Elephas maximus indicus: one gene and its partners. The protein of the gene in region 1 interacts with the protein of each later gene in a pairwise test. Links are inferred from orthologs where the notes say so. Each region holds a gene or a part of one and is shown in the gene's direction. Other genes may lie near its edges.

Evidence for each region.
Region 2: the proteins of NFYA (region 1) and POGZ interact in binary tests that used the Homo sapiens proteins (3 or more experiments, as listed by UniProt). The two-hybrid records come from large-scale screens. The link is inferred for Elephas maximus indicus from reciprocal best matches to the Homo sapiens genes NFYA and POGZ.
Region 3: the proteins of NFYA (region 1) and ZC3H10 interact in binary tests that used the Homo sapiens proteins (3 or more experiments, as listed by UniProt). The two-hybrid records come from large-scale screens. The link is inferred for Elephas maximus indicus from reciprocal best matches to the Homo sapiens genes NFYA and ZC3H10.
Region 4: the proteins of NFYA (region 1) and GTF2A1 interact in binary tests that used the Homo sapiens proteins (3 or more experiments, as listed by UniProt). The two-hybrid records come from large-scale screens. The link is inferred for Elephas maximus indicus from reciprocal best matches to the Homo sapiens genes NFYA and GTF2A1.

The regions. Positions count from the first base shown.
Region 1 is NC_064819.1:105,459,438-105,467,164, forward strand, and holds the start of NFYA (nuclear transcription factor Y subunit alpha), read left to right. Parts: upstream 1-4,727; 5' UTR 4,728-4,868; intron 4,869-4,885; exon of another isoform or gene 4,886-5,232; intron 5,233-7,727. Other genes in the region: ADP-ribose glycohydrolase OARD1, read right to left, coding at 112-224, 1,296-1,354, 2,725-2,869, 3,227-3,265. UniProt on the Homo sapiens protein: Component of the sequence-specific heterotrimeric transcription factor (NF-Y) which specifically recognizes a 5'-CCAAT-3' box motif found in the promoters of its target genes.
Region 2 is NC_064821.1:185,499,467-185,506,410, reverse strand, and holds the start of POGZ (pogo transposable element with ZNF domain), read left to right. Parts: upstream 1-3,925; 5' UTR 3,926-6,944. UniProt on the Homo sapiens protein: Plays a role in mitotic cell cycle progression and is involved in kinetochore assembly and mitotic sister chromatid cohesion.
Region 3 is NC_064822.1:116,074,985-116,082,303, forward strand, and holds the start of ZC3H10 (zinc finger CCCH domain-containing protein 10), read left to right. Parts: upstream 1-4,300; 5' UTR 4,301-4,378; intron 4,379-5,148; 5' UTR 5,149-5,212; intron 5,213-6,611; 5' UTR 6,612-6,666; coding exon 6,667-7,319. UniProt on the Homo sapiens protein: Specific regulator of miRNA biogenesis. Binds, via the C3H1-type zinc finger domains, to the binding motif 5'-GCAGCGC-3' on microRNA pri-MIR143 and negatively regulates the processing to mature microRNA.
Region 4 is NC_064828.1:94,359,206-94,366,783, reverse strand, and holds the start of GTF2A1 (transcription initiation factor IIA subunit 1), read left to right. Parts: upstream 1-4,559; 5' UTR 4,560-5,005; coding exon 5,006-5,035; intron 5,036-7,578. UniProt on the Homo sapiens protein: TFIIA is a component of the transcription machinery of RNA polymerase II and plays an important role in transcriptional activation. TFIIA in a complex with TBP mediates transcriptional activity.

The DNA.
Region 1 (7,727 bases):
TTAATTCCACATTTTGGGTTAAATAAAACCTTTAAGTCCTTTGTCTTTGAGTAGGAGACACTCCCTCCCCCAACCAGTTCAATCTTAATTCAGGGCCCTGGATTTCCTTGCCTGGGCATGGAGAGGTCGGTGACTCCATTCTCCAGACAGTGGGATTTCATGGCCTCTAAACTCTTCTGTAAGTTTTCATAAGTTGGTTTGTGCGAAGCCCTTTTCTTTGTAATCTACTTACAAAAAAAGGATTCAAACTTTCATTAGTCCAAAACGATAGCCCATGAAAAGCCATCACATTCCCCCGACATCCTGATAATTACAATAAATTCATTTCCATAGTTACTCTAGAGCAGAGATGGCAAATGTCATACTGACCCTTCCATACTGTTATGGGAAACCCTCAGGAAAATCCTCTAAACAGAGCCTAAGAAACCCAGATGCTGCTGTGTAAGAATCTTTCCTTTTCCTAGGAAATTCATGAGATTAACAGGCTATGCCTACTGTCTACTGTTTTTAAGCAACGTAGACAGTCTTTGTGCTACTTTCAAAAGATAAACTGCATATTTGTAACAAGGAAGAAGCCATACCATTTGAAAATTACTTGTTAAAAAAACGTTTATTAGAAACTGTGTTTGCTTTTCATTTCTCTATAGAAGAACAGGGAGAAACCGATAGTGTCCCAAACATGCTAAAAAGATTGGAAGTTACCAGAGCCCACAACATCAGCCTCGAAGACAGCATTCAAAGGGCAGAACATCTCCCCCACTCAGTTTGCCGTCCTCATCAGGCTTGTAGTGGGCTGGTTGTAAGTCACCCAACACCACCTCTAAGGAAGCTACAGGTTTTCTGGGACTGCAGACCCCTCGAACAATTGAAGAATCCCACATTCAGGCAGAAGGCCAAGGAAGAGCTAGGTATTACCTGGCATTGTTTTTGATACAGGATGCGAGAAAAACCCCTTTGGCCAAACTGTCTCTTGAGACATTATTGTTCCTATCTCACCATGATTAAAAAGAATTAAAAGCACGGTTTGGCTTAGAGATTAGTGGGGCATCTCTAACTTCTGCACATGCCTAGAACACATGCATACAGTGGATGGCACAGTACTCTTTCCCAGCCTCACATCCCTCTCTAACACAGTGCTCCAGAGAGCCAATGCCACTGGATCTGAGCTGGCAGGACAGCAGAAGCTTTTTGACATCCTTCGTTCTCTAGCGTGCAGCATCACGACCAACACAAATGCAGTGTAACCCACCTGTTCACCAGTCTTTAGCATGTATTGAGAATTGGCCCCATCTTACCAAGTAATATATATACCGCCCATCTCTCTTCAGAACAGCCACTTCTCCAGATTTCTTTTCTAAGAAGAAAAGTTATTTAATAGCAGAAAGGAAAAAGAAAACCAAAACGCCAATCTCCATTCTTAGATTTTTTAATCTTTGCAGATCTAGGTTTATCTCTCAGAACCAGAAATAATCTTCAGGTCTGAAGAAACCTACTGTTTCCCAGGAACACTTTGCTACTTCAGCCTTTCTAAATAATATGTCTGAACTTTCAGCTTTCTTGCAATCACGTTTTCCTCCCACCCCATCTTTTGTCCTGCCCCCAATCTCAAATATACTTCAGTCTCCTCTTAAAAAATTTTAAAGTCTATTACCCATAAGTTATGTTTTAAAATATGTGCATTTTTTACTTGCCAAATGTGTTTTCATTCAATAATTAACTTTCTACATACAAAGACCTATGCTAAGCGTTATGGGGAACACAGATATATAAAAAGCTTTTTAACTGCTAAGGAATTATTGATACAGAAAAGGCATCATGTTTATAAAAAACAACACCAACCAGTAAGACATCACTTTTGTCTAAGGCTAGAATCAGAATCATTGCTGGAGACTGATTCAGTAAGCCTGGAACATGGTCTGAGCAACTGTCAGTATGGTTTCAGAAGCTCCATATATAGTTCTAACGTACATTTCTGGCTTAAAATCACTGGTAAAAAGTAATGGGGGAGAAGGAGTTAAGGAAGAGGAATTTCTAAACTCCTCTTTGAAGAATAATTAGAGTAGCAGTAAATAAAGGATCCTGAATGCTCAGCTAATTCCTATGGACTTTGCTAACCACTTCAGAGTTATTAAAGGTTTCAGCGAAGTGGAGAAATACTATCAAAGAAGTATATAAAGATAAATTTAAAGTTTTATGTTAGAAAAAGAAGCCATTAGAACTTTTACAAAGTTCACGTTTGGTGAGATAAGGGCCCAAACTAGATGCCGTTCTTGTGGGGGAAAATCTTAATCTAAATAGTTAAACATACTCAGTGGTTAGTATCAGGGGCAAATTATCCAATAGCAAGGCAAGCACAGTGCTTACCTCGCTTGCCAGATCATCTGTAGTGAACAATTACACATTTTTTTCACATCAAAGATTCTACTTCTAGGCATGGCTGGCACCTTCCTACAGAATCAAAGACTCTTTTTAAATTAACGATTCCTGACAGGGGTGAGTGACCCAGTAAGCAAGGTAAGCATTGGCTTACTTACTCATCCGTAGTGAAACTGTTCACTACAGATTATCGGTAAGGAACGTAAGCACAGTGCTTACCTTCCTTATTGGATATTTCGCCCCATTAGGATCCCCGTTTTTGCATTTGTATCTTGTTAAATAAAGTTTAACAGATCAAAAGACGTTCTAACCAGAGCAGAACATATACACTTTGTTTTCAAAACTCACGTTGACTTAACAGTTCCTGCACCCCTCCAAATTTCTTCTTGAAGAGGACAGCTATCCCAGCGCCCATACGACAATCCTCACTGATGCAGTGCGCTAAAGAGTCTGTTTTAGGGCATGCAAAAAGGTCTCCTTTTATGTATGTGATCTAAAATGTGTAAAAAAAAAAAAAGTCTTATTAGATAGGAAAAAATACTAAGCTGCTTCTTTCATTTTCCTTTACTCCAGGTCCTCCATCACTACCCTTCCCCCCACCCCAGTAATCTGACTTCAAAACCAAATTCTCAGAATCTAATTTGAGGAGTTAAAGACAACGAATTAAAGCCTGGGAAACGGAAAGTGATAGATGGTCCCTGACTAGGACTGTATTAGCCTTTGTGAAGTAAATCAACTAAAGAGAAAAAGAAAAGACAATTCAATTATTGGTTTAATTAAAAAGTGTTTATGTTTTGACCTCAATTATTCTGAATTTCAGTTCACCAATAAGTTAATAGTTTTTACGCACTCTGCTTCCTTCTGAATCTTCATTAGGACTGCCAGCCATGATACTAAGTCGCTATTTCCAGAATGTGTTTCTTCAGCTATGAAACGGGAAAAGGAAATAAATATGCTTAAACCAAAAACAAAGCCAAACCCGTTGCCGTCGAGTCGATTCTGACTCATAGCGACCCTATAGGACGGAGTAAAACTGCCCTCATAAGGTTTCCAAAAAGCAGCTGGTGAATTAGAACTGTCAACCTTTTGGTTAGCAGCCAAATGCTTAACCACTGCGCCACCAGGACCGCGATAATTATGCTTAGGCAGTCTGAAAGATGTTGACTGCCCTGACCACTCACTCATTTAATTTTTTCTCCAACATTTACCACTAAAGGTGAGTTCGCTCAACCTCTAGGAAGTAAGACAAAACTCTTCTGGGGCAAGGAATAGGAAAAATACCTGGCCCACTTTCATTTCACGCTTCTGAAGTGGACCGCTGCACCAGCGGAAGCAAAGGCGGTCCTAAGACACACCTCCTCCTTTCTCCACACCCGCTCCGGAGCAAGGCCGATTTAGGATAGTCCTTTTCTTTGCATGACGCTAAAGTACCTCCCCAGTGGGTCTGACCTAGAAGAAAATGGGAAGGACCTGGCAACAGTCTCAATAAACCGCAACAAGAAAGTGTACGGGCCAGGACATGCTGAGTTGCAGGCAGGAGAAGTGGAAAGGCGGCCTCTCAAGGAAGGTTCACCCCCCTTTTACCGGGGGCGGGGCGAGAAGGCTCTAGATAAGCCTCCCCTTCTCTGTTGGCTACCCTAGGGCGGGTCAGCGAGGGTATAGGGTCTATCCTGGGGTCCCGTTGCGGGAATGGGGAAGTTGGCTCAAAGCCCCAACATCACCGGGGTCCCCTTCACCTGGAAAGGAGTCAGCCGCTAAGAGCTCCCCGCCCCGCGAGGAAAGGCTCCGGATCCTGCCCTGGTAGGTGCGGAGCAGAGGACAAGCCCAGATGCGGAGCCAATCCCGTTACACCCCTATTTGTACGCACCTAAGATGGCTGCCCACCACCCGGTAGCGGAGCGGAAAAGAGCCTCTCTAGCTAGCTAGCCGAGACGGCACTCTTTGGTAATGGCCGCCGAACTTCCGGCGGTAAATTCCGTGGAGTCGGCCGCCGCCGCCCGGGCATGCGTAACGAGAAAGCCGGCCGCGAGTTGGGAAGAGCGACGCTTGCGCGTTAGCACCAGGGGTGTGTCTCCCGTGGCCGCAAAGAAGGGGATGGGCAGCTAATAAATGCGCTAGTTAGCGCCTGCGTGATACTATGTTAAGGGCGGTGTTTGAGTTGAGGTGTCCGACGCATCATGAAGACGCCTGCGTATTCCTTCAGCCGGGGGTGGTGTCAAATCAGGGAAGTGGGCGTGGCTTCCGGGGACGCCTGCGCGGTGCTCCTTCAACTGGGGGTGGGGCGAGCCAAGAACTGGGGTTAGAAGGCGTGGCCTTAGAGGCGCCTGCGCGGAGACGGTTGGAGGGAGGCCCGATTCCCCTTTGTTCGGGTTCGCCATTTTGCGAGGCAGCGGCAGTGGCGGCGGCAGCGGCGGCTGGAGCCTCTGATTGGGTTTCGGGGTCCGGTACTGGAGCCAATCAGCGCGGGCAGCGAACCGGGGGAGCGAGGCACGGTGAGTGTGAGGAGCCAATATCCAGCGGCCCAGAGCCGGCCCCAGCGCCCCGATTGGCGGGTCTCGCTGACCACTCAGGAGAGGCCCAGGCGCCCGTCGAGCCCGGGAGTCGAGCTGAGCCTAGCCGAGCCGGGCGGCCGGCGGCCCCGGCCCGGAGCCTGCGACTGCCTCGGGCACTCCCGGCCAAGGCCTGCAGGGGGCCGCCCCGTGCGGGGATGGCGCCCCTGAGAGCGGGCACCTCGAGGTCCCGGCCTTTGCAGGGTGCCAGTGCCGGTTGGGGATGCGTTCCCTTTCCCCCGACCCTTAGGCCAAGTGTTCAGGTCCCAGGCCGAGGGTTTCCTGCCACGAATGCCCCTACGCTCAGGTACACACGCGCCCCAGGCCTCGGCGGTTTCCTCCTGGTCGTTCTGGTCTCACAACTTAAACCCGTCTTTGCATTCTCGGCGGTCCGGCCCTCGGGACGGGAACTCTCTCCGCGGAGCCTTTGCCGCCCTCCCCCCGCCCCCAGCCCTCTGTGAGCCGGGTCTGTGTGTCTGCAGCCCCCTAGGTCGGGAGGGAGACCCGGAGTAGACGCGCCTTGGCCACAGGGCCCCAAGGAAGGCGGGAGCGGGCCGGCCCGCCCGCGCCGCCTCCCTGATCCGAGGAGGGGTCCGTTAGCGCGCCCACTGCCCAGCCGCGCCCCTCCTCCCAGCCCGCTCGCCCCGGGTCCCCGGCCCCGCGCCGTTACCACCCCCTTTTGGCTCGTCATTTCCTCTTCTCCCCGCCCCGCTCACCGGGGCAGAACCGCACACCTTCTTCGTCAGGGAGCCCAACCGAGCCGTCTCCCTTTCTTGCCCGGTTGTAAGGCCAGCCCATTCGGCGCCTGGAACCTCAGTCTTAGAAGAGGGATAGCCCTGAGCATTCTTTTTCCCCGAGGCTGCATATAAGTTTTCTTCCTATTAGTGTTATCCTTCGTTCATTTTGTGAAGTCTCCCACCCTTGGGAATATACTAATTCTTTAAGCTTTCTGGATTGTTTTGAATGTGTCAGGCTTGACTCAGTCCATAGCCGTTTCCTGAATTGTTTTTTCTAGTATGTTTTCTAAGCCGGTTTTAACCTTTTCTTATCAAATGTTTATAGAATTAATAGTGTTGTGGCGTTTTCTTTAGGGTGAGAGGAAATCTCCGTTGGCAGCCAAATATTGAGTAGTTCATATGTGCCAGACATCAATTCATGTGATGATGGGGAGGGAGAGGGCAAGAGTAAATGAGAACCATTCCTGCGTGGTGGAGATTGAAGGTGAACTACTGAGACTTAACGGTTAGTGCTATCCAGGGGCTAAGCTCAGAGTCCTGTGCAGGTACTTGTGTGTGAGCTATAAACACTCTGGTTTAAGACTTAACACTGCCACACTTTTTTTTTTTTTAATAATTTTTATTGTGCTTTAAGTGGAAGCTTATAAGTCAAGTCAGTCTCTCACATGAAAACCTATTACACCTTGCTACACACTCACGGTTACTCTCCCCCTAATGAGACAGCAGCCGGCTCTCTCCCTCCACTCTTTTCGAGTCCATTTCGCCAGCTTCTAACCCAAATTGCCACACTTTTAGTTGGCATTGAAGGACGATGAGATTTCTTCAGACAGAAAAGAATGAAAGAGCATTGCTGGCAAAGAGAAGTATATGTAGAAGCATAATGTGCTTGAGGCAGAAGATGGAATGGGGCAGTAGGAGAGCTTGGGCTGAAAAGCCCATTGGTAAAATGCCGTGTATATCTTGCTAAAGACTTTTTTAGGAAGCAGTTATCCTGTCTGGAAGTTCAGGTAGAAGAGATCTAGAAGGTTCTTTTTTTTTTCTAAAATTGAAAAACAAGGTTCTGACTTGTGAGGTGTACCTTACAACAGTGGCTGAATTTGGGGGAAGAAAAGGAGATTTTTCTCTGAGGACTTTTAAGAAGTTTTTCACTAATGTAAAGCACCTAGTGCAGTCCCTGGCACATAAAGTAGGTCTTCATTATGTGGTGCCTGTTTTCTATAATGATGTTTACTAAGATCATGCAACTGGTAAGTTTCGGAAGACACCTAATCCAATGTTCTTTCCATTTCTAAAACTTTAAGGAAGGTTTTTGTTTTTGCCTTTTAGCAGAAGTTTTTTTTGTGTGTTATTTTAATCATTTTCTAAATTCATTTAATCCTTAACATTATCCAGATTAATAGATGGTGCAGTGTGACCCAAAATGTTTTTATATTTGCTCTTAGAGTAGATGTTTTAACCTTGGTATTTAAAGATGGCTACATCTGGTCGCTTCAAAACCAGCAGTAGGCATCTTTTTAAAAGGCAATTGCGGTCTGGTCACCACCTCCACTTGTTAGCCTGGTATTTGAGAGACAAGTCTGGCCTCTGTCTCCAGGTGGCGCCAACCTAAAGGTTGGTAGTTAGAACCCACCCAGAGACTCCTGGTGATCTGCTTCTGAAAGGTCCCACACAGTCTTGAAAACTCTATGGAACCCTGTTCTACTCATAACACGTCATGAGTCAGAATTTGTTTTTTCTTTTTTTTTTTTAAGTCTGGTCTTTAGTTTGCTCACGACATGGGGCCTTTTAGTCTACTGTTCATGTACTGAAATTTTTCTGTCCTTATGTTTATGCTGCTCCCTTCACTTGGAGTATTCCACCCCCTCCCGCATCATCACATACCTAAATCCTCACATATTACGCAGCTCAAGTGACACCTTTTCCTAAAGTTTTCTTTGATTTATTCCAGCTAGAAGAAATCTCCATTCTCCAAACTCCCACATAACTTTCTTCTTATGGTTCCAGTTCAGGTTTTTATTCCTTTGCTAAGCTTAAAGACACTTCGAAGTTAAAACCGTGGTCAAAA
Region 2 (6,944 bases), on another chromosome or scaffold:
GAAAAATATTAAAATTTTATCATCCTTTAGGGAGGCAATAAAGGACCAAATTCGTTGGCTACTTGGAAAAGAAGTTAGTTTTTATTTTGGAAAAATTAACAGGTGTATGGTCTTGAATGGACGTAACCAATTTTGGGGGCCACGTTATTTCATCCTTGACTGGAACACAATCATGTATGTGGCATCTATGGCTCTTAGAATTGGGGATCCCTGCTGAGTCTATTCACAATGGTTTCAGAGCAGTTTTCAAAATAATAATCATCTGGATAAGCATTCATGCATGACTCTCCAGAACTCAGAGGGTTTGAGGGTAAAAATGGCTTTTAAAAGTTCTTCAGTATTTGTCATAAAGCTACTTGGCTGAATGTCTCTTGAGGAAGAGCGAGTGCCATTTCTATGTCTGTGTTCCAATAACAGTTGTTGCTGCCACTGGGCCTCACCATCTGGCCTAAAGTTCCTTCTTGATTGGGTACAGGCCTTGAATGGGATGTGGGGGACACACCCCAAATTTCCCTGGTAAGTCTTGGCAAGTTAATTGAGGAATATTTTCTTTGGAAAATCCATTTTTCCCACAAAAATTTAGATATTGGTTTTGAAGCCAATTCTTTTTTCATTAAAAAAAAAATTTTTTTTTCCTCTTTATGTATTTATTTGCCGGCCCAGACAAACTTGACTAGAAAAGAAGCCCGGGCATGGGATAGGATGAGCTCATGACGTGGCAGGAGCTCCAACCAATTGAAAGACCACGAAAGGGGGCGGGCGGAAGTGACGAGACGTATCCCTCCGCGGGGCGAGAGGGTCGGTGGGGGGAGTCTGCGTTTCTCTCCCCCGCGCCAGCTCCCGTACACGGAGCCGCATTCCTTGGCCCCCCCACCCCCTCCCTCGGGGCCCCCCGCCCCCCCTTGGGAAAAAAATCCACCTCAATTCATTTGAATCCGAGGGAGATTTCTTTACACCCGCGGGGAGACGAGTTTTCAACGGTTCCTTCTTCTTCGTCTCCCCCCAAAGCCCCGTCCCCTCCCCTGCTCCCACCCCCTTCTCCCGGCGTCGGGTGCAAGGTCCCTTTAAGGCGACGGCGCCTTCCTCGGGTCAGAGTACCGGCGGCGACGACCACGGGAGGTGAGTGAGCGAGCGAGCCTTCTCTCTCCCCACCCCTTTCTCCCGGGGGTTCCGTTATCTTTTCGCTTGGTTAGGCGTTCCGAGGCGAGACAATGAGCGGGGGATGGGGCGGGTACGCGAGGGGGTGGGGGCGGGGGGGCCGGTGGCGCGCGCCCCCGCACATCGCGAGTGGCGGCGCGGCCCGCGGCAGTGGCGGGCGTGGGGTGCGGCGCGCGCGCGCGTGTATGTCTGTGTGTGCGTGCGCCCCCGGAGCGGTGCAGCGGCCGGGTGGTGGAGGCTTCTGCCTGCCTGCCGGCCGCCCCCGCCCCCCGGCGCGCGCGCGCACTCGCGTCCCACGGCTCCACACACATCCCGACGTCCACACGCACGGCGGGCGCGAGGCGTCTCGGAGGAGTGGGCGGGCGCGGGCGCGTGCAGCGGCCCGCTGGGGAAGGGGCGGGGGTGCGGGCGGCGGCGAGACGGCTGGGTGTTGGCGAGGGGGCGAGGCCGCGCCGGGGAGGAGGGCGGGCGGCGCTGCGGCGGGAGGGGCAGCGGGGTAGCGTTCCCCTTGGGGGTGGGCGTTCGTTCCTGGTCCTTTCCCGCCCCTGCTCTCTCTTGAGGAAGGAGAGGGGTGGACTTGGAGAGAAAGAGGAGGAAAAAGAGCGATTGCTGAGACGAACCCGTGTGTTATGCAATGACTACTCCTGTCTAATAGTACATCCCAACCCTTAGTACGTTCCAGTTAGTTTACAGAGTCCCCTCCCTCGGACTCAAAATGTCTTTAGGGATGGCGCCGTGATTTATAAAATGAGATGGGGCGGAGAATCGTTATATTCTGATAATTATATCCTGCCGCCGTGGGCGCCATGTTTAACTCAGGGACTATTTTCTCTGGATTGTTAGCACCGACTGAAAAGGGCTGGCGTCGTTATCCACCTGCTTTCCATCTTTTTTGCTTGCTGTCCTGATTTTCCTCTCCCGCCAGTCGCGGGATTTCTTCAGACCGCTAATGAAGCTAAAAGTTTCTTTGCTTGCTTGTCTCGGGCGTTCTTAGCTCAAAAAAGGTAGAGCTGAAAAGGGCTTTGTAAATCGTTTAGCCCAATCTCTTTTTTGAGATTGAAATTGAGATACAGTTGTAGTATTTCATAACAGCTTTCTTGTGGCAGACCGAGGCCCGGCCCTCTACACTCTTTGAGACACTCCTCTCCGCATCTGAAAATCCCACAGAAATGGGGTTTTACTTTTAAAGGAGTTTTCCCAAGTAGTTGAAGGAGGAACGGTGGGGGCGAGAAGGGCAGTTTCTTGGTGAATGACAATTTCGTGATTCGATGGGCTTAGGACTGGGAAATTGGATTCTGAATTCGAACTGCTTAAGCAGAGCCGTTCTTCAGGGTGCATAAAAAGTAAATGGGAGGTTGCTAAACATGCAATTTTGGGGGCTTCATTTCCAAAGACTATTTGGGTGGAATGGAGCCGGAGTGTCATTTTTCCTGCCTTTTTAACCTGCAGCCCCTGAGATGACTCTGCTTAAGGTACCTGCCACATAGAGAATTATTGGTCTAGTATAAAGTTGCTCAAAATACAGTTAAAACAGAATGAAATGGCAATCTATGCCCTTGGCTTCCCTCCCCTTTCCTGACCTATGTTGGTGGTGTATCCCAAACTGAGAAACTAACAATGTGATTCTTGAGATCAACAGGACTTGCAAGAGTTTCAACCTTTTCCTTGAACCAGTGTATAACCTAGGAAAAGCAGTTTTCAAAAGGTGGTCTGCTCACCCCTGGGGATCCCAGACCATTTCAGGGAAGCCAGGAAGTCAAAACTTTTCAAAATAGTTTATTTATTTATGTTTTTCGTTCACATTTGCGCTGATGGTCCAAAAACAGTGTTGGGTAAAAGTACTGGTGATGCTGTAGCACAAAGCAAGGCAGTGGCACCAGACTCTACTGGACTTGAGAATGTTCTTTATGAAACAGTAAGCATTATTGATTTTATTAATTCTCAACCCCTGAGTGCAGTCTTTTTAAGGATCTGTCATGAAACGGAAGGTACGTATAAAGCACTTACGCTGCTTACCAACGAACAATTGCAGAGGAAAAGCACTTGTGAGATTGAGTTGTGAGCTGAACCAGCTGCTTGTTTCATGGAACAGCATTTTTATTTGAAAGGACAATTGACAAACTAGTTTTTCAGACTTGATTATTTGCTGGAAAATGAATGAAGTGAGCAGCATGTCACTTTAGAAAAACAGTTGACAGTATTTGCTAACCAATGATAAAATTCCAGTGAAAAGTGGAATTTTAAAAAACTTGACAGCTTGAATTTTGACAGCTTCCCAGTGCTTAAAAGAATTTAATGGTAGTATCAGTGATTAGGGACTGTGATTTTTTTTTTCAACTATTGTGTAATGAAATATGCCAACATTTGAAAGATCAAGATTAACATAACTCAGTCTGTTTCCCAGATGACCAGTGCATAATGCTATAAAATCGCACGTGGGTTAAAAAAAAAAAAAGATCATTTAAAACGGCAAGATGGACTGGTAGATTTTAATGTAACGGTATGAAAGGTTGATTGATAAGGTTTCAGATGGTGCAGTGTATACCTTAAGCTACCATTTGTTGAGTTTTCCTATTAAAGAATGTCCACAGCTATATGAACAGATTATTAAAATAATGCTTTTTCCTACTACAAATTTGTATGAGGCAAGATTTTTTTGTACTTAACCAAGACTACATATGGCGGCAGACTGAATGCGGAAGGAGATGCGAGAATCCAACTGCCTTCTGTTGAGCTATAAACAGAGGTGATCTGCGAAAGTGTAAAACAATGTTATTTTTCTTACTAATTTTTTTTGAAAATAGTAATTTTTAATGAAAATGTTTTTTATGGTAACGTGTAATAGGTTTATTCGTTTTGAATGAATTGGTATTAAAATTTTTTTTTTAGTATGGTAAATATTGGAAAATATAATCCCAAAAAATAAAAGCTCACTGGGGTCCTCAGTAATTTTAAGAGTGTAGAGTGGTCCTGACACCAAAACATTTTAGAATCGCCGATATAAGGGGTAACTTTTGGGCCTGTTTTATGTTTCTGTTTTTTAGATCACCCAAATCTGCCTCCATTTAGGAATTTCTGAAGATTTTACAGATGTTACTTGGAGTTAATACTGGAAGAGGCAGTGACTTGGGGAAAAGTGTAGGCTCTAGGGTGAGAAAACTTGGTTTGAATCCTGGTTGGGATTCTAACCCAGGGTGGTGGGGAGGGCGGGGGCAGTAGTGGTTCGGTGGTAGGAGTCTCTCCTTAGGGCAGGAGACCCGGATTTGATTCTGGCCTGTACACCCATGCTCAGCCACCACCCGTCTGTCAGTGGAGGATTGTGTATTGCTGTGATGCTGAACAGGTTTCAGTGGAGCTTTCAGACTAAGACAAACTAGGAAGAAAGGCCTGGCAGTCTACATCTGAAAATCAGCTAGTGAAAACCCTGTGGATTACAACAAGTCCAGTCCACAACTGATCATGGGAATGGCACAGGATCGGGCAGCATTTTGTTCTGTTGTGCATGCGGTTGCCATAAGTTGAGTTTACTCGACAGTAGCTAACTACAGTCTTGGGCAAGTTACTGAATCTGCTAAACCTCAGTTTTGATCTCATCTGTAAAATAGAGCACTTAAGGCATACTGTTGTTAGGAGAATTTACTGAGATGAGGAATGTGTGAAGTGCTCTACAGTGCCTAGCATATCAAACAGTAAAATAAATTTCAACAGTGTGTTTCCATTTTTATTCTCCGTATTTGCCCTTTTTAATTAATTTTCGTTGAAGGTAGAAATTCCTGATATAAAATTAAAAACCCTAGTTTGGTGCCTCTGTCATATTATCAAGCTGTCTGTCGTAAGATTTGATAGATTCGTTGATATTCTGGTTTGTGATGGTAAGCCATATCCACAAGAATATATATCTTACATGTAACTAAGGGGAGGAGAGAAGGGAGAGAGATTAACCTATTGCTAGGACTTAACAGTTAAATTGAGCGAGTAGACATGGAACTTAGCGTACAACTGTCAGTAGAGAAAAACTTTGTATGATAGGCAATGTTTTTGGGAGAGAGACTATAAAATGGGGAATTTACTGATGCTTTAGTTGCTCTTTTAATAAAGAGCACGTAACTAATATTTGGTTGCTTTTATTTAAAAAAATTTTTAAAGTTTCTGTTGTGAAATACATGTAACAAAACATTGGCCAATTCAACCATTTGTTCTTCAGTTCAGCCATTTTTGCATGTACAATTCAGTGACATGGATTACATTGACCACGTTGTGCAACCATTAATACTTTCTCCACATTTTTCATCACCGTTAACAGAAAACTCAATATTCTTTAAGCAGTACCTCCCATTTTCTCCTCCCACCTGCCCCTGGTAACGACTGATAAACTTTGGTCTTTATGCATTTGCCTGTTCTAGATATTTCATGTAAGTGAAATCATACAATATTTGGCCTTTTGTGTCTGACTTGTTTTGCTCAGCATAATGTTTTCAAGGTTCATCCATGTCTTAGCATGTGTCAGAACTGCATTTTTCTTTATGGCCCAATAATATTCCATTGTATGTGTATACCACATTTTATTTATTCATTCCCTCTGTTGATGAACACTTGGGTTGTTGCCACCTTTCGGCTATTGTGAGTAATGCTTCAGTGAACATTGGTGTACAAGTATCTGTTTTTGATTCCCTGCTTTACAAATCTTTTGGCTGTATATCCCAGAAATCACCCAGTGCCATCGAGTCGATTCCAACTCATTGCGACCCTATAGGACAGAGTAGAACTGCCCCACAGAGTTTCCAGGGAGCGCCTGGCAGATTCGAACTGCCAACCCTTTGGTTAGCAGCCAAAGCACTTAACCGCTATGCCACCAGGGTTTCCGTGGCTGTATATATAGGTGTGGAATTGCTGCATCGTATGGAGATTCTATGTGTAACTTTTTAAGACCGTTCATGCTGTTTTCCACAGTGGCTGGACCGTTCTACAGCCCCACCAATAGTGAATGAGGATTCCAGTTTCTCCACATCCTCACCACACTGGATATTTCTGTTTTTCTGATAATAGCCATCCTAGTGGGTATGAAGTGGTATCTCATTGTAGTTTTGATTTGCATTTCCCTAATGACTAATGGAAGGAGCCCTGGTGGTGCAGCGGTTGGAGCGTTCGGCTGCTAACCAAAAGGTCTACCCTCCAGCCACTCCACAGGAAGAAGATGTGGCAGTCTACTTCCGTGAAGATTATAGCTTCAGAATCCCTATGTGGCAGTTCTGCTCTGTCCTATAGAATTGCTGTGAGTCAAAATCGACTTGACAGCATTGGGTTAATGACTAATGGGAGTCCCTGGGTGGTGCAAACGGAAAGGTTGGCGATGTCCCCATAGAGGTGCCCCACAAGAAAGGTCTAGTGATCTGCTTCTGAAAAATCATGCATGGGAAACCGTATGGAGCACAGTTCTACTTTGACACACATGGTGTCACCATGAGTCAGGATTGACTTGAAGGCAGCTGTTCTTCAATGATTAATAATGTTGAGCATCTTTTTATGGGCTTGTTGGCCATTTGTATGTCTTCTTTGGTGAAATGTCTATTCAAATACCTTGCCATTTCTCAATTCGATTTGCCTTTTCGTTGTTGAGTTCTAGTTATTTGTATATTATCGGATATATGGTTTCCAAATATTTTCTCCCATTCTGTAGGTTGTCTCTTTGTTGATAAATTCCTTTGATGCCCAAAAGTTTTTAATTTTGATGAAGCCCAGTTTATTTTTTCTTTTGTCATTGTGCTTTCTGTGTCGTATTTAAGAAT
Region 3 (7,319 bases), on another chromosome or scaffold:
AATGTCAGCATTTTCTCATCTGTTTTGGGGCTTTTTCCTCTCTTTCTCACTCCCCCAAAGTATTTTGTCCTCAAAATAGAGGAGCTATTCTTCAGATTGTTTTTATTCACATGTGGCAGATTCCTCTTACTGTCCAGGTTGTCTGGTCAGGCCTCTCCCATTTTCAGGAGCCGGAGCCTGCATTTACAAAGGGATTCTTGTCTATCAAGTGAATTCTCACTTGTAAATCTTTTTAGTCATTTTTGTTCTGCAGGTTTTTTTTTTTTTTTTTTTTTCATTTTCACAAAGCTGTAAAGAAGTAATCCATCTCAACCATGTCCTTTTCTTTGGAGTCAGTGGGATCTTCCCTTGTTTCATCTTACGCAAACAAGAGCTGGAAGCTCAGCTGAGGTTTTGTTTCTTGTCTGAGATATTTTGACTTCTCCCCTTTGAAAGAAAGACCAGGAACTGGAGGAGCAGACTGACTGAAGAAACAACTCCTGGCTTTCTGAAGCTGTGGACTTGGATTGGATGAATTGCTGGGGGTTTGGAGAGAAAGGTGATGAATTTCAGTACCTCTGGCATGCTGCCCCAGGAAACTAGGGCTCCCACTAATTTATGAGGTTTTTAAACACCTTGAGAATGAGATGGCGTTAAAATAAATTTGGATTTGGTCATATTGATGTGCATTTGTATGTTGCTCTTATTTAAACAGAGGTGGGGAGTACCGGTTGAGTAAGTGAACATCAGTTGGAACTGTTTTTCTACAGTGCCATAATCTACCTCCTAGTCAAAGAATATTTGGAGTTGGGGAAGACACAAATCCTGGATTCTCTGAATTACAGCATAGTAAATTACATATAGGAAATGGGAGTTTGATGGTGATTTAATTTTCTAAAGTAGCAATGTGCTACTTGCTGTTGACACTTTGGGACTAGGACACTATGTTGTGTATTGTAAAGAAGAAGAAAAAAAAAACACTATACAAGTATTAATTTAGGAACCCAGGAAGGATGCTTTAGTTTTTAATGTTCCGTAATCAGGCGTTGAAATTCATAGTCTTCAAGCCTTTTTATACTGCTCTCTGCTTCAGGGCCAGGTAGCTTGAGTGAATATTTGTTCATTAGATTTGAATACCTTACTACATGTGAGGCACTGGTGACTTGGAGGTATTACAATGAACAAGACTGGACACAGGTCCCCTCAGATCTTAACAGATTAGTAGGCAATTAACCGTGGAAATTTTGATGGACTTAATATATAAATTTCTTAAATATATATGTTTTCAAAACCTTGTCACACTCTGATGGTGACAATACTAGAACTACTTAAACACTTGTAACAAGGACTGTAAATTTTTAAAAACTCAATTTCCCCGAGTTAAAAAAGTGAAATGTTATTCTATAAATACGAAAGGGAAACCATCAAAAGGGAGGAGGAGGGATTATAGCACAAGATTTTACAGTATTTTAAACATTGAACAAGGTAAAATCTATGCTGAGTTCTTTTTCATCCTTCGTAATTCAAGTTTCCTGAAACCAAATCTCTGATGATTCTGACCTAACCACACCATGGTCCTGGCAAATTCTTAACACCAGATGTCATTCTTGCTCTGGAGAAACCAGTTGCCTTCAAGTCGATTGTGATTTATAGCGACCCCATAGGGTTTCCAAGAAGGGCCTGGTGGATTCGAATTGCCACCCCTTTTGTTTAACAGCCAACCTCTTAATCACTGCCCATGCCCAGTGCCATCGAGTCAGTTCTGACTCAGCGACCCTATAGGACAGAGTAGAACTGCCCCATAGAGTCTCCAAGGACTGCCTGGCAGATTCGAACTGCTGACCTTTTGGTTAGGAGCCTAGCACTTAACCACTACACCACCAGGGTTTCCTCTTAATCACTACGACTTGGCTAATCTGGCTTGTTCCCCTCTGTACGTTGGTTTTATCTTCATCCCTAGGTGGGGAATTACTTATTCTCAACAAATTCCTGGCAGTTTAGTTTGGGATGGCTAATGACATTCTGCCTCAGGCATTGTGGAAAAAGCTCCTAATAGCTGGCTATTTTATTCTCTAGGAGTTTTAGGAAGTTGATTTTTAATAGTGACTTTTCCCCACTCTCCATTTCCCATCCTTCAATGTTCTGGCATCTAGCACCTTCGGAAATAACGATATTGAACTTCCCTGCAGCAATTTAATTTAGAAAACAAGGCAAACCCGTAAAGCAAATGATGAATTTTGTACACACAGTAGGCACCAATACAGAATAAAATGGAGGGTTTTGCCAGGTAACTGCAACTCCCATAAGGCAATGAGAAAGGAGGCGGAGGTCACTCTCTTGTCCGCACCCCTTGATACCATACTGGGAGACGCTCACCTTATATAATGCAGTGTTGGCGTAATGAAAATTGTGGGGCAGGGGGGCTTGGTAATTTGAATTCCAGATACTCTTTAACGAGAGAACTAACGGCGTCTACAACGCTTCAGCTCAATAATTCGACCACCTGCTGTTTGAGAGATTGTTATTTCACTCAGGCAGCCCCGCCCCGGGGGGGCGGGAGGCGGAAGTGACGACACTGGATGCTCCATAAAATAGCTGTAGGCGGAACTCGGGCTCTCTCTCGGCCTTAGCGCCATCTTGTTAGGTAGGTGTTTCTACAGTGTGGAGTCCGCATAGAATCCATTAACATCTTGCGGCTGCACGTAACCATCATCTCAGCAAACTAACTGTAGCTTTTTTCTCTTTCCCCGTAGAAACCTCCGGACCATGAGAGCCAAGGTGAGCGATTCCTGAACAGTGAACTGAGTCGGTAGGGATTGGCGAGTGGGGTAAACTAGCGAAGTCCGCCATGGTACCCAAATCGCTGGGTTCTCGAAAAGTGCCCAGGAGCTCCTGGGATAAGGATAGTTTGGTGGGAAGCAGAGGAGTTGGGGAGAGATGGCAGGGGTAGAAGACTGCAGGTGAGATGCGGGTTTACATCGTGGGATCCAAACTGATGGCAGTTGCTGCGACCAAGCCCTCTTACTTAAGAACCTGACTGAAAGGGCTTTTGATACCCCTACCTAACCTGTTACTGAAACTACTGATTTCTTGTTTTATTCTCTGCCTCTGTTACGATCGGTTGCAGTGGAGGAAGAAGCGAATGCGCAGGTATGTTGAGGCGTTGTCAGTACTGGAAGCGGGACGGGAGCACGCCTTCGGTAAAACTTGGGGGGCGGGTGGCATTCGGTCTAGGAATGTAAAAAAATTGAATGCACTGACTTGCTAGAGCCAGGAAGTGAAAACTAAAATCGTATTGCTGTTTCGTTTTACCATTTCACGTGTTGTATGACCAAAAGGTCAGCAGTTAGAATCCACCAAGCGCCCTTTGGAAACTACGGGGAAGTTCTACGGTGTAGTAGAGGGTCGCTTTGAGTCGGAATCGACTCGACGCCGGCGGGTTTGGGTGGTTTTTTTCTTTGTTTTGTTTATGTACATAAGTGGGAGAGAAACTGACCATAGGTTTGGAGGCAGGAGTTAATGTATTCATTATCTACTTGCAGGCTGAAGCGCAAAAGAAGAAAGATGAGGCAGAGGTCCAAGTAAACGCTAGCGTGTGCACACACGGAAGCCACAGCAGCAGGAATATGGAATGTCGGAGGCCAGGGACGCTGGTACAAGTTGCTGACTGCATGCTACTGTCTGGAACTTATCTCAGTGGATCTAGAATTTCCATCGCCATTTGATCGCTGCGAACACCTTCGAGGGGCCCACCTTGCTTGTACTAAATCAGACCCTTTTGATATTTGCCCTGGACCTATGACAGTCTGGACTAGTTCTGTTCTCAGTTGTGGCTGAGTGTAACATGTGCACAATAAATCATCTCTTCTGCTGTTTTGGCTGAAGAACCAAATCTTCTTGTCTGTTATATGTGATTTTTTTTTTTTTACGGTTCTTTTGGGGATTATCACATTTTGTTTGCCGTGTCACTAGTGACCCGTGCTATGGAAGATGTGAAGAAACTCCATCAGCTACAGAGCCCTGTTCGTGGGTTGCAGCCCCGGGCCCCAAAGCCAATACTTAGAAGCCCTTTCGGCAAAGGGTGTAATACACGCCTGGGGATAGGTTACCGGGTTGTTTGGGAGTAATGGCGATTCCAATTTGCCGCCTCTTTTCGGGGCAACGGTATGTGGAGGAGATGCAGGGCTGTTTTGATCGGGTTGCCATGGTGACTCGCAGGGGTTGCTGGGAACTTCCTGTGGCTCGCGCAAATACTTAACACGCCATAGAGTATAATTCCGGGTCTGGTGGCTAGAGCGTCATTTCTTCCGCAGGAAGCGGAAGGATGATTGGGTGGGCGGCTCTTTGTCGAAGCTAGAGGACCGGCAGGCGGCAGCAGCAACTACGGCGGTGGCGGCAGGTGAGGGAGGCGGGAGAGTTAGGTGGAGGCCGCGCCCGGAGGGGAGGAGTCGGGCCGGCCCAGCGGTTGGTCTCGGGCGGTCCGCACATGGCCCCCCAGGAACGAGCTGTCTCTTTCTCACACCCCAAGGCCGAGCCTCTTTTCTGAGTGACCCCGCTTCGCGAGCAAACGCCAGCTCCGTGACGTCACAACCTTGCCCATCCCCTCAGCTTGATGTCACCTGGAGCCCCCCCCCCTCCATTTCGGGCTCCCGTAGTGTCCTATCCAGCTGGTCCACGGCTGAGCGCCGGCGGCGCTTCACGGAACCTGCCAAGCTGGAAGACTTGCTGTGGGGAAACTCGTAGAACTTTTTTTTTTTTGGGCAAACTCTGGGATGTTACCAAGCGTCATAATCACCATCCCCAAATCTAATCTGCCATCCACTGCACTGTCAGTCACTGCCCTTCTACAGCTCCGAATTCGGTGTTCCTAACCCCAACTCTAGGCTGGGGTTTGATCCCCACATTCTCCATCTTGAGGCCTGCAGGGCACATCCCTCATTCTTCGTTTTCCATCCCATCGTCCCAGCTTCTCCAAATTAGTTCTGTCGCTTATTCTTCTTGCTGGCGACATCTCCCTTTGACAGGTGAAGAAGTGCAGTTTGAACCCTAAGGAAATTTTGAAGTGTCCAGAGCTCTTGCCGTTTTGTCAGACTTATTCTTGTGACAAACCACCGTCCTCCACTCTTACCCCTTCTCCCACCCAAGTGTCTTTTTTTTTTTCCTGTTCAGAACCCAGCAGTGATGTGGAGGTGGAGACCCACAGGAGCTCCGGACTTCACCTGAGCTACCTCAGGTATTGAATAATCCTGGGAGAATTGGGTGGGAAGGAATGTCCTATCTGATTATCTGCTTCTGGTGAACTTGCTTCATGGGTCAGGCTTGGAAAGATGATAATTTATTCTTCACTTGGTGATTTCCTTTTCAGTAAAAGTTTTATCTTCTCTTTTACCACCCCTTTTCTTGATTGTTTCTTTTATTTTGGGGTTACTTCCTTTTGGAGGTAAAGAACTCGTCTTCTTTTATAGATTATTTAGTAATTCTGGCCTCTGGTCTGATCAGTTCATTTTAGGGGAATTTGAAGGTAAAGTCAAGGCAACTGGGGAGAGCGAAGGCCCAAAAAATCAGGAAAGCCTTATATACTCATGGGGAAACAATATGAAGTTTTCCTATTTGGACACCAGAGGGAGCCTGAACACTGCCTAGGAAAAGCTTAGGCGGTCAGACACGTGGTAGCAGAGTCTCACAGTCTTGGGGGTGGTAGGGTGGTGGTTGTGTTAGAACCGGGTCAGTGGACTGACATTCCTGAGCTCTCTAGAGAAAGAAGAGATTTAAAAAGCTTTTATAGAGTCTGTATATAAAGCAGGTCTTTATGGGGTGAGGAATGGTGTAGTTTGATGTCAGTGGGATCTTCCCATAGGGAGGGGGGCAGGAAGAGGGTGTAGAATGGGGAAAGAAAGGTCACTTGTTCCTGTGGAATTAATTCCTTCCTCCCACCTTGGCCGTTTCACAGGTGGATCTGTCCTGGGGCCTAGAAGTAGAGATTGTAGCTATAGCACTCCTTCCTTTAAAGGGGAGTGGAAGGAGGCTGTCTTCATGGGTTGAGAGTGTTGCTGGGTGAGGAGACAATACATAAGTTTAGGAACTGCCCTCAAACTGGTCATACCAGTCTTCACCCAGGATTTCTTGAGCTTTAGAGATCTGACACAGGGGCCATGGAAGAAGGGTTAAGGGATGTTGTTTTGTTACCAGTGCCCCGTCATCCCTAATAGCTCACCAGCCTATTTTGACCACTGTTCCCTGTCTCCTCACAGCTTATTTAGATACCCACAGTAGTTTTAATTTCACTTCTACAACTTTAATAAGGCCAGGTCAGAAGTGAGATAAAATTCAACACTATTCTCTCCCTTCCCCCTCCTCAGACCGCCTGTCAGCATTGAGATGAGGTGGCTTCATCCCAATTGCCTCCCTTCTCCGTTAGCCAGGCAAGTGTGAATCATTCTGACCAAGACTAGGTGCACAAGGGCCTGGGCAGGGACGTCTGACAAACAGCCAGTCCAAACAAGAATTCTCTTCCCTTAGATTCTCTATCTCCAAAGCAGTTTCCCCTCTGGCCTGCCTCATGCTGGGCTGCCCTGCAAGAGTGGTAGCCTTTCTAGAGGACTCCTGTTTGACACAGCTTTCCTTTTTCCTAGCTGTCACCAAGGGTGGCAAGAAAAGGAAGAAAGCCCTGAGTTGGGGGGAACCAGGATGCCTGACCGGGACAGCTATGCCAACGGCACAGGGAGCAGCAGTGGAGGCCCTGGAGGCGGTGGCAGCGAGGAAGCCAGTGGGGTGGGGGCAGGCAGTGTTGGGGCCAACTCAGATGCCATCTGCAGAGACTTCCTGAGGAATGTGTGCAAGCGAGGCAAACGTTGTCGCTATCGCCATCCAGACATGAGCGAGGTGTCCAACTTGGGGGTAAGCAAAAATGAGTTCATCTTCTGCCATGACTTCCAGAACAAGGAGTGTAGCCGCCCAAACTGCCGATTCATCCATGGCTCCAAAGAGGATGAGGATGGTTATAAGAAGACAGGAGAGCTTCCCCCTCGGCTGAGGCAGAAAGTGGCAGCTGGCCTGGGCCTTTCACCAGCTGACCTACCGAATGGCAAGGAAGAAGTCCCTATTTGCCGTGACTTCCTCAAGGGGGACTGCCAGAGAGGAGCTAAGTGCAAGTTCCGTCACCTGCAACGAGATTTTGAGTTTGATGCTCGGGGTGTAGGAGGAACTGGTGGTGGGGGCTCAACAGGCCCAGTCCTGCCAGGACGACGTCATGATCTCTATGATATCTATGACCTCCCTGATAGGGGCTTTGAGGACCATGAGCCAGTCCCCAAGCGTCGGCGAGGTGGATGCTGTCCTCC
Region 4 (7,578 bases), on another chromosome or scaffold:
TTAAATGTTCATTCTTTTTGCTTCTGGCTATGCCACTTTTTTTTTTTTTTTTTTTTTTTGAAGAGCAAGCCAAAAACATTAGCCCAGAGTCTTGGTTCTCAAGAAAGTATTTGGATCACACCCGATTTTCTCACAGTTACCCTTGTGAAAGCAAAGTCCAGCCCACAGTATTTAAGCAGATTCCGTACTTCCATTCTGGCCTGAAATCTCTAATAATCTTCCTGCCACGTTTTGTTTTATAATCTCTGTTACCTCTACTTATTAATCCATACTACCAGAGAACGGTAGGTTCTGGAAAAGAATGCAAACCAGCCTATTTAGTTTCAGTAATAATTAGTTGATTAACTACAGATTTATCTGCTATGATGTATTTTATTAGAAAGTTGTCTATGCAGAATTGTCTGTCATATCAGAAGCCTCTATCAAGTTGAAGGCATACAAGCGAGAAGATAAAGGCAGCAAATAAATCAAAGATCATTTGGCCACTAGAAGAATATTTTTTATAAAACTATCTGAACAAGCATCCTGTAAATTTAACCATTTTTAACTGTCCCAAATCACAGTTGTTTAACTTGTGATTCAAGATGAGGCAAAAATAGCTGAGATATAAGAATCAGAGAAAGAGGAAACCCATGTAATTAAACACAGTGTTTAATATTAATTACATTTATAACACAACACCAGGCCTTCTTGGGAATACTGATGACAAGCTGTGTGAATAAAGAACCATCACTGATTGTAAAATAATGTGTCACTGGGCTCCCTTTAGCATTTTTTTAAATACAGAATTTCAAACGTATGTAAAAACAGGTTGAATAGTCTAATAAACCCCAATGTACCTGTTATAGGTGCTCTGGTGGCACAGTGCTTAAACGCTTGGCTGCCAGCTGAAAGTTTAGTGGTTTGAACCCACCAGCCACTCCTACCGGAGAAAGATGTGGCAGTCTGCTTCTGTAAAGATTTATAGCCCTGGAAACCCTGTGGGGAAGTTCTGCTCTGTCCTACAGCGTCGCTATGAGTTGGAATTGATGGGTTTGGTTATGGGTACCCGTTATGGGTTGAATTGTCTCCCCCAAACATGTATTGAAGTCCAGGCCCCTAAACTGAAAACAAACAAACCCGTTGGTGTCAATTTCAGCTCAAGTGGCCCCATGTGTTACAGACTAGAACTGCTCCATAGCGTTCTCTTGACTGTAACCTTTGACAGAGCACAAGGCTTTTCTTCTGTAGCGCCTGCTAACCTTTAGGTTAGCAGCCAAGTGTTAACTGTTTGTTGTGCCACGCAAACAACAACAAAAAACCAAAATCTGTTCTGTTTTGCCCTGGCGTACATTCTGATGCATAGCGACCCCATAGGACAGAGTAGAAATGCCTCACAGGGTTTCCAAGGCTGTAATCTTTACGGAAACCGGAAGCCAACTGCCACATCTGCTGGGAGGTTCAAGCCACCTTTCGTTTGGCAACCAAGCTCCTAACAACTGCCACCCAGGGCCCTTGAAATAGGGTTTTTGTTATGCTAATTAGGTCATACCCAGTAGGTTGGGCTCTAAATTTACTCATTTCTGAGTTAGGAAAAAAAGCAGAGCGGATGAAGACACATAAAAGGAGAAGAGAAAAACAGAGGAGACACATGCAGCCACAAGGACTTCTGGCAGCTACTAGAAGCTGAAAGACAAGGAAGGACTGCCCCTAGAGCCACACTCTGAATTTGGACTTGTAGCCACCTGAACTGTGAGAAAATAAATTTCTGTTCTTTAAAGTTTTTGTTATGGCAGCACCAGGTAACTCAGATAGTACTCTTCCTCAGCTTCAACCATTACACACTCATGGCCAAACTTGCCTCATTAATACTCCATCTATGTCTCTGCTTTTGTGTTATTTTGAAGCAAATTCAAGTCTCATTATTTTGTTTTTCAGTACACATTTTTGAAAGAGAGGGTATTTTAAAGTAGAACTATTATCAAACTTAAAAATTTATCAGTAACTTTAATTTCACTAAATATCCAGGAGCTGTTCAGTTTCCAATAGTTTCATAATTGTCATCATTTTCTTTTACAGTTTATTTGAAGCAGGATCCAAATAAGGTCCACTCATTGTGACTGACTGATAGGTCTCTTTGCTGTTGTTAGTAGCCTTTCACTCACAGCGACCCCATGCACAATGGAACGAAATGCTGCCAGGTCCCTGCCATCCCCACGATCAGTTGTGGATAAGACTGTTATTTATGATCCACAGGGTTTTCAGTGGCTGATCTTCAGAAGTAGATCTCGAGGCCTTTTTTCAGGAAGCTCTGCTGAAATCTGTTCAGCATCCTAGCAACACGCAAACCACCACAGATGAGTGGTGGCTGGTCATCAAGTGCATCAGCCAGGAATTGAATCTGGGTCTCCCACATGGAAGACAAGAATTCTACCATGGAACTACTAACGTCACCTGTGTCCCCGATCAATCCTCCCCAATTGTGATCAAGTTGTCTCTGACTCCAACTCATGGCAACCCCCCGTGTGTCAGAGTAGAACCGTACTCCTTAGCATTTTCGATGGTTGATTTTTCGATGTAGATCACCAAGTCTTTCTTCCCAAGCATTTCTGCGAGGACTCCAACAGCCAACCTTTAGATTAGCAGCCGAGCACGTTAACCATTTGCACTGCTGTGGAGAGCAAATCTCGTGGATTATCCCCATCTCCTGTATGCAAGTAGTCTTAATCTAAACCGATTGCAAAACATTTGTTCATTAACAATACCAAGTCGTAGGGAGGAAAAGAAGATGAAAGATGAGAGATGGCACGTGCAGAGTTGGGGGTGTGCATATATGGAGGTAACACGTTCTCTTAAAATAATATGCAGTGAAACTTACTGGAAATTGTTTTGTATAATCTTTCTGGTTGTCACCTGAACATTAAGTGAATTATGAGTGTTGATGGGATCATAATTTATACAATATTCCAAAAATAGTATGGTTTTCTGTGTATTTTTAAGGTCCCAAATCAGGCAGCTGGGCAGTCAACTGTGAAGCGACGGAGTGGTAAGAGCAAAGTGGGTAATCAGATGGTATTAGAAGAAATCTCAAGGTTTTTGCCTAGTCACAAACTCATTCCATAATCTCCCATTTCTGAGTCTTAATGGCCTTAGTTTTCTCTAATCCCTTCCTTCGGATCCGGGGAGGCTGCATTTTTTCCTCCCTCTTGGTAGGGTGCCTTTGGTAGTCATTTAAACCTGGTTGCACCAGCATATAACTTCTGGCATTTTTTTTGTTTGCACTTTGAGGATAAACTCCCTCATTGCTTCAGATTACACGTTTGTCAAAATGCCTTAAGAAAAAAAAAAACCCAAACCCACCGCCGTCCAGTGGATTCGGACTCATAGCGACCCTAAAGAACAAAGTAGAACTGCCCCATAACGTTTCCAAGGAGCGCCTGGTGGATTCCCACTGCCGACCGTTTGGTTAGCAAATGTAGCTCTTAACTACTACGCCACCAGGGTTTCCATCAAAACACCTAGAGACAAGAAAATTAAGTACTGCGAGGTCTGCTCTCTAAACAGGACATTCTCTGTCCCGCGTGAAATGTTGATATAAAAGCAGAATTTGCTTGGGCAAATGTGGGAAAAACCTGTTGAATTGCACTCCAAGACATGGGCATTTTCTGCTCGCTCTCACAGCGAGACGCCACGAGAGTTGGTGGGTCAAGGGCATGCATTTCAGATATGATTAGTCACTACGTGCTGGCCATATGGAGCCGCAATATTTAAAAAATCAGGAAAAGTTATTGTACTTCCTTATTCCAGTGATGGTGTTCCGTTTCGTTTTTGGCATTTCCACGAGCGTGAGAAGTTATTTAAAGTACGTCAACTAATAATGGCCGAAGCTTTGGGAACTCCGTCACCGGCCTCAATACGGTGACAAACGGCTCGGCGGTTTCAGATTACTGCTTCTGGAACACGAAAACATAGGCCCAAATCAGCCTTCAGCCCCTTCAGAAACAACCGAGAGAAGGTCCACACTCAGTGAGAAGCGCTAACACGGCGCAGCTTGCAGTGTGATCTCAGTTCACGCCGGGAGAGATGACTCCGCACTTAAAACTGCCCCAGGTCGGACCTCGACACGGGCCGGTACAGAACACGTGACCGGCCCTCCTCCGCGGCCATGCCTGTGTAGGCTGCTGCCACCGCCCCTGTCACATTCGGAGCTCCTCCAGCACGGGGCGGCGCGGAAACGTCTGCCACGAGGCAGAACAAGCCAGCTTTAGATACCCGTGTTACTAGAATTCGCGCCTTTCCCACAAGTGTTTTGCAAGTTTCTCAACCCAAATGGGCTTCCGAAGACTTCCGCCTGAGTGCCAACCACGTGATCACGCGATACTTGGAGAAGCCACAGCCCCACTTCACTACTCCTGTCCCCGGGCTCCGCCCGCCCAGCACTCTCCACGGCGCGTGACGACGCGGCCCGCGGCGGCCTCCGCCCCGGCGCGCCTGCGCACGCGGCTCTCGCGGTGTCTCGCGCTCGGCCCCGCCCACCTCTGCCCCCGCCCTTTCCGTCCCTCCCTCCCCCTCCGCCCTGTCTCTCGGCGGAGCGGCGGCGGCGGCGGCTCGCGCAGCGCGTTGGCTCGCTATATAAAGGGGAGAAGCGGGCGGACCGGACGGCTGGAGCTGCAGCCGGTGGCAGCAGCGGCGGCGCGGGGAGCGGCGACCGGTGGTGGTTTCCCTCCTTCGCGCGGGGTGGGGAGCGGGCAACGCCCCCCGGACCCCCGGAGGGTCTTGGTTTTTTTTTTTTTTTTTTTTCTGGGGGAAGGCGGTTCTCGAGGTTTTTAGCCCCGGGAGGAGTGCCCCCCCGCTCCTCTCTCCGCTCCCCTCTCTACACCTTCGGGATCCGATTTTACAATTTTTCCCAGTCGTGCGGTGGCTCGGGTCACCTCCGGGTGTTTTGGTTTTGCTTTTTCTTTTTTGATTTTGTTTTTACCTTGTTTTCTCGGGGTTCACCCCCCTCTTATTTGTGTTGTGTGTGGAAATGGCGAACTCGGCAAACACAAACACCGTGGTAAGGACGTGGTTCGGTGGCCGGCGGGGGCTTCATGCAGGCGGCAGCAACGGCCGGACCGGGCGGGGGCGGGGACGGCGGCGACACCCGGCCTCGACTCTCCTCAGCCGCCCGCGCGGCCGCCGCCGCTTCCCGCCTCGGGCGGACCGGGCCGGGCGCCGGGCGCGGGCGCGGGGGGGCGCCGAGGGCTCGCGCGGCGGCGGCGGCGGCGGCGGCGGGAGGGGGCGGCGGCGGGGCCTGGGGCGGGCCGGGCCGCGGAGGCGGTTGGCCGGGGCGAGCGCGCGGCCCGGCCCCAGACCCCGGCGCCGGGAGGGAGGAGGGGAGCCGCCGCCTCCCCCGAAGTGGGCCCGTCCGAGCTCGACGAGGGCTCCCCGAGCACCTCAAAACAAAAACCGTGTCTGGGGAATTGGGCCAGCCCCAAGCCCCGCCGCGGTCCACTTGAATGCAGTGGAAGGCTGATGCCACTTCGGGGGCTAGTCTGGGTTTTCCTGGCTTAGGCTTTGGGACCCTTCATTGGGGCCATTTTATGTCTAAGGAAAACGGACGAAGGTTGAAAAGTACTTATCTCGGTTCCTTCCGAATCGGTAAAATGGCGAAGGGGAAGCAAAACCCCCATCGGATCTCCGACTAGCAAAAGCACCAAAACAAACAAAAAAAAGCCTACAGTGGTCAAAGTGCCCCTGCTTTCGCCTTAAAATTTGCCTCCTTCTCCCCCGTTTGCCCATTTTTTGGTTACTTGCGATCACGTAGGTTTGCAAAAAGCAGTCACATAAAAAACCTTTTCAGTCCCCAACGCAATGTGATCACTAGTCCCCCCGACTCTCTTATTTTTATTGTGCCAATAAAACACGTCTTTGCCCGGTCCCGAATGCCGCAGACCAGCCCGCGGCCGCCCGACACCGTACCGTTGGCGACTCGGGTCGATCCATCATGGCTGCGGCCGCTTAGCCTGCTTTTCAGTCCCTGAGCCTTGTGGTCCTCCTCCCTTTGGCTGCCCTGTTTATATAGAGCCATTGCCGCTCTCTAATATAGACTCTGCCAGGATGGGAAGGTGCTTTTCAGGCCTACGTCACCGCCTCTCCATTTAAACACCAGATCCGGCTTTAAATAGTGAGAGCTGCTGCGAGCAGGGCTGGGAGGTTCGTGCTCCCGAGGCGAGAGGCTGGCGTGTGTAGAGCTCAATTTATTCCTGGGTCCTTTTCTTAACGCTGTAATCTCGCCCCTCAGGGGGGCTGCTTTCAGAGCCTCAGATGTTTTGATGCTGCAGCTAGGGTTTGCTTTCTTTGGTTTGCCAGGGGAAAACATTCCGAATTACTATCCCTTCTATTTTTATTTATTTTTTTTAAAGAGAAATTTTAAGTAACAGGGTTTAATCCTATTTCTTGTACTGGAAGGTGTGTACCTTATTGTCGGGAATTTAAAAATGCTGTCTATATTAAGTGTCAGCTGCAGAGGACTTGATTTGGGAAGGGATAATTTTATCAAGTATTCAGGAAACTTAGAAATCTAGCTCCTGATATTTCATATTTTTTTATTGTTTCAATATGTTTTCTGCTAATATCTGAAGACAGAAAGCTTTTCAGAGGTCATAGATAAGTGGCTAAAGCTTTACCTTAGGATTTTTTCTCCACGGTAAATTTATGTGTAGGGGAATTGTGAGTCACGAATGAGGAGATTTAGTGCAAACTGGATTTTAAAATTAAAAATCTAAGTAGATTCCCTGTATTGCATTGGATGATAACATGGTATCCAGTATAAAATTAATCCAGTTTATTTTCCAATGTTGCTGTGCATTCTGGGTTTAAAATTCTTTTAATTGCTATAATATGGATGTTTTTGTCAGAAGTATATAACTTGAATCATTTTGTATGCCCAAGGAACCTTCTAAGACTTTTGAAAGGAACCTTCTAATTAATCACTTGGTAGTGTCACTAATTGCCCTCTAATTTACCAGTTTTTAAGTTTGGAATATCTCCTAAATTGCCTTGCATTAAGTGCAAGAAACACTTTGGCTCAAGTAAAGTTTAGAATTTTAAGTAATGGCCTGGATATTGCTCCACAGGGTCTCTATGAGTTGGAATTGAATCGAAGGCAATGGGTTTGGTTTGATTTTGGTTTTATATCACATAGTGCCTGTGCGCCCATGTACTTTAAAATAAAGCATCAATATTTTGAGGACTTTTCAACTCACGAGCAATTTTCCTAAGTTGTTATTTGTGTATATACTTCATGAAGAATACATATTTCCCTTCCTATTTTAAGTGTTCAAGTCATAGGTTCATTTAATGTAGAAAAGGAAAGCCTTAAGACAAGATTGATTAATTAAATTGCGAGTACCAGAAGATAGCGTATTTCTGTCTGTAAATGTCTGTATCTTTAAGCAAAAGATTTTTAGGGTTAACGGACTTCAGGAACACCAAAACATCTCATTTGCTGGCAAAATAATTTGTATTGTCAATTTGAGATTTATGCTACAAATTTAAGAATACCTGCTTCCTTTATAGTGCCTCGAGGGGGTCATTATTGGTTAAAAAAAAAACCCC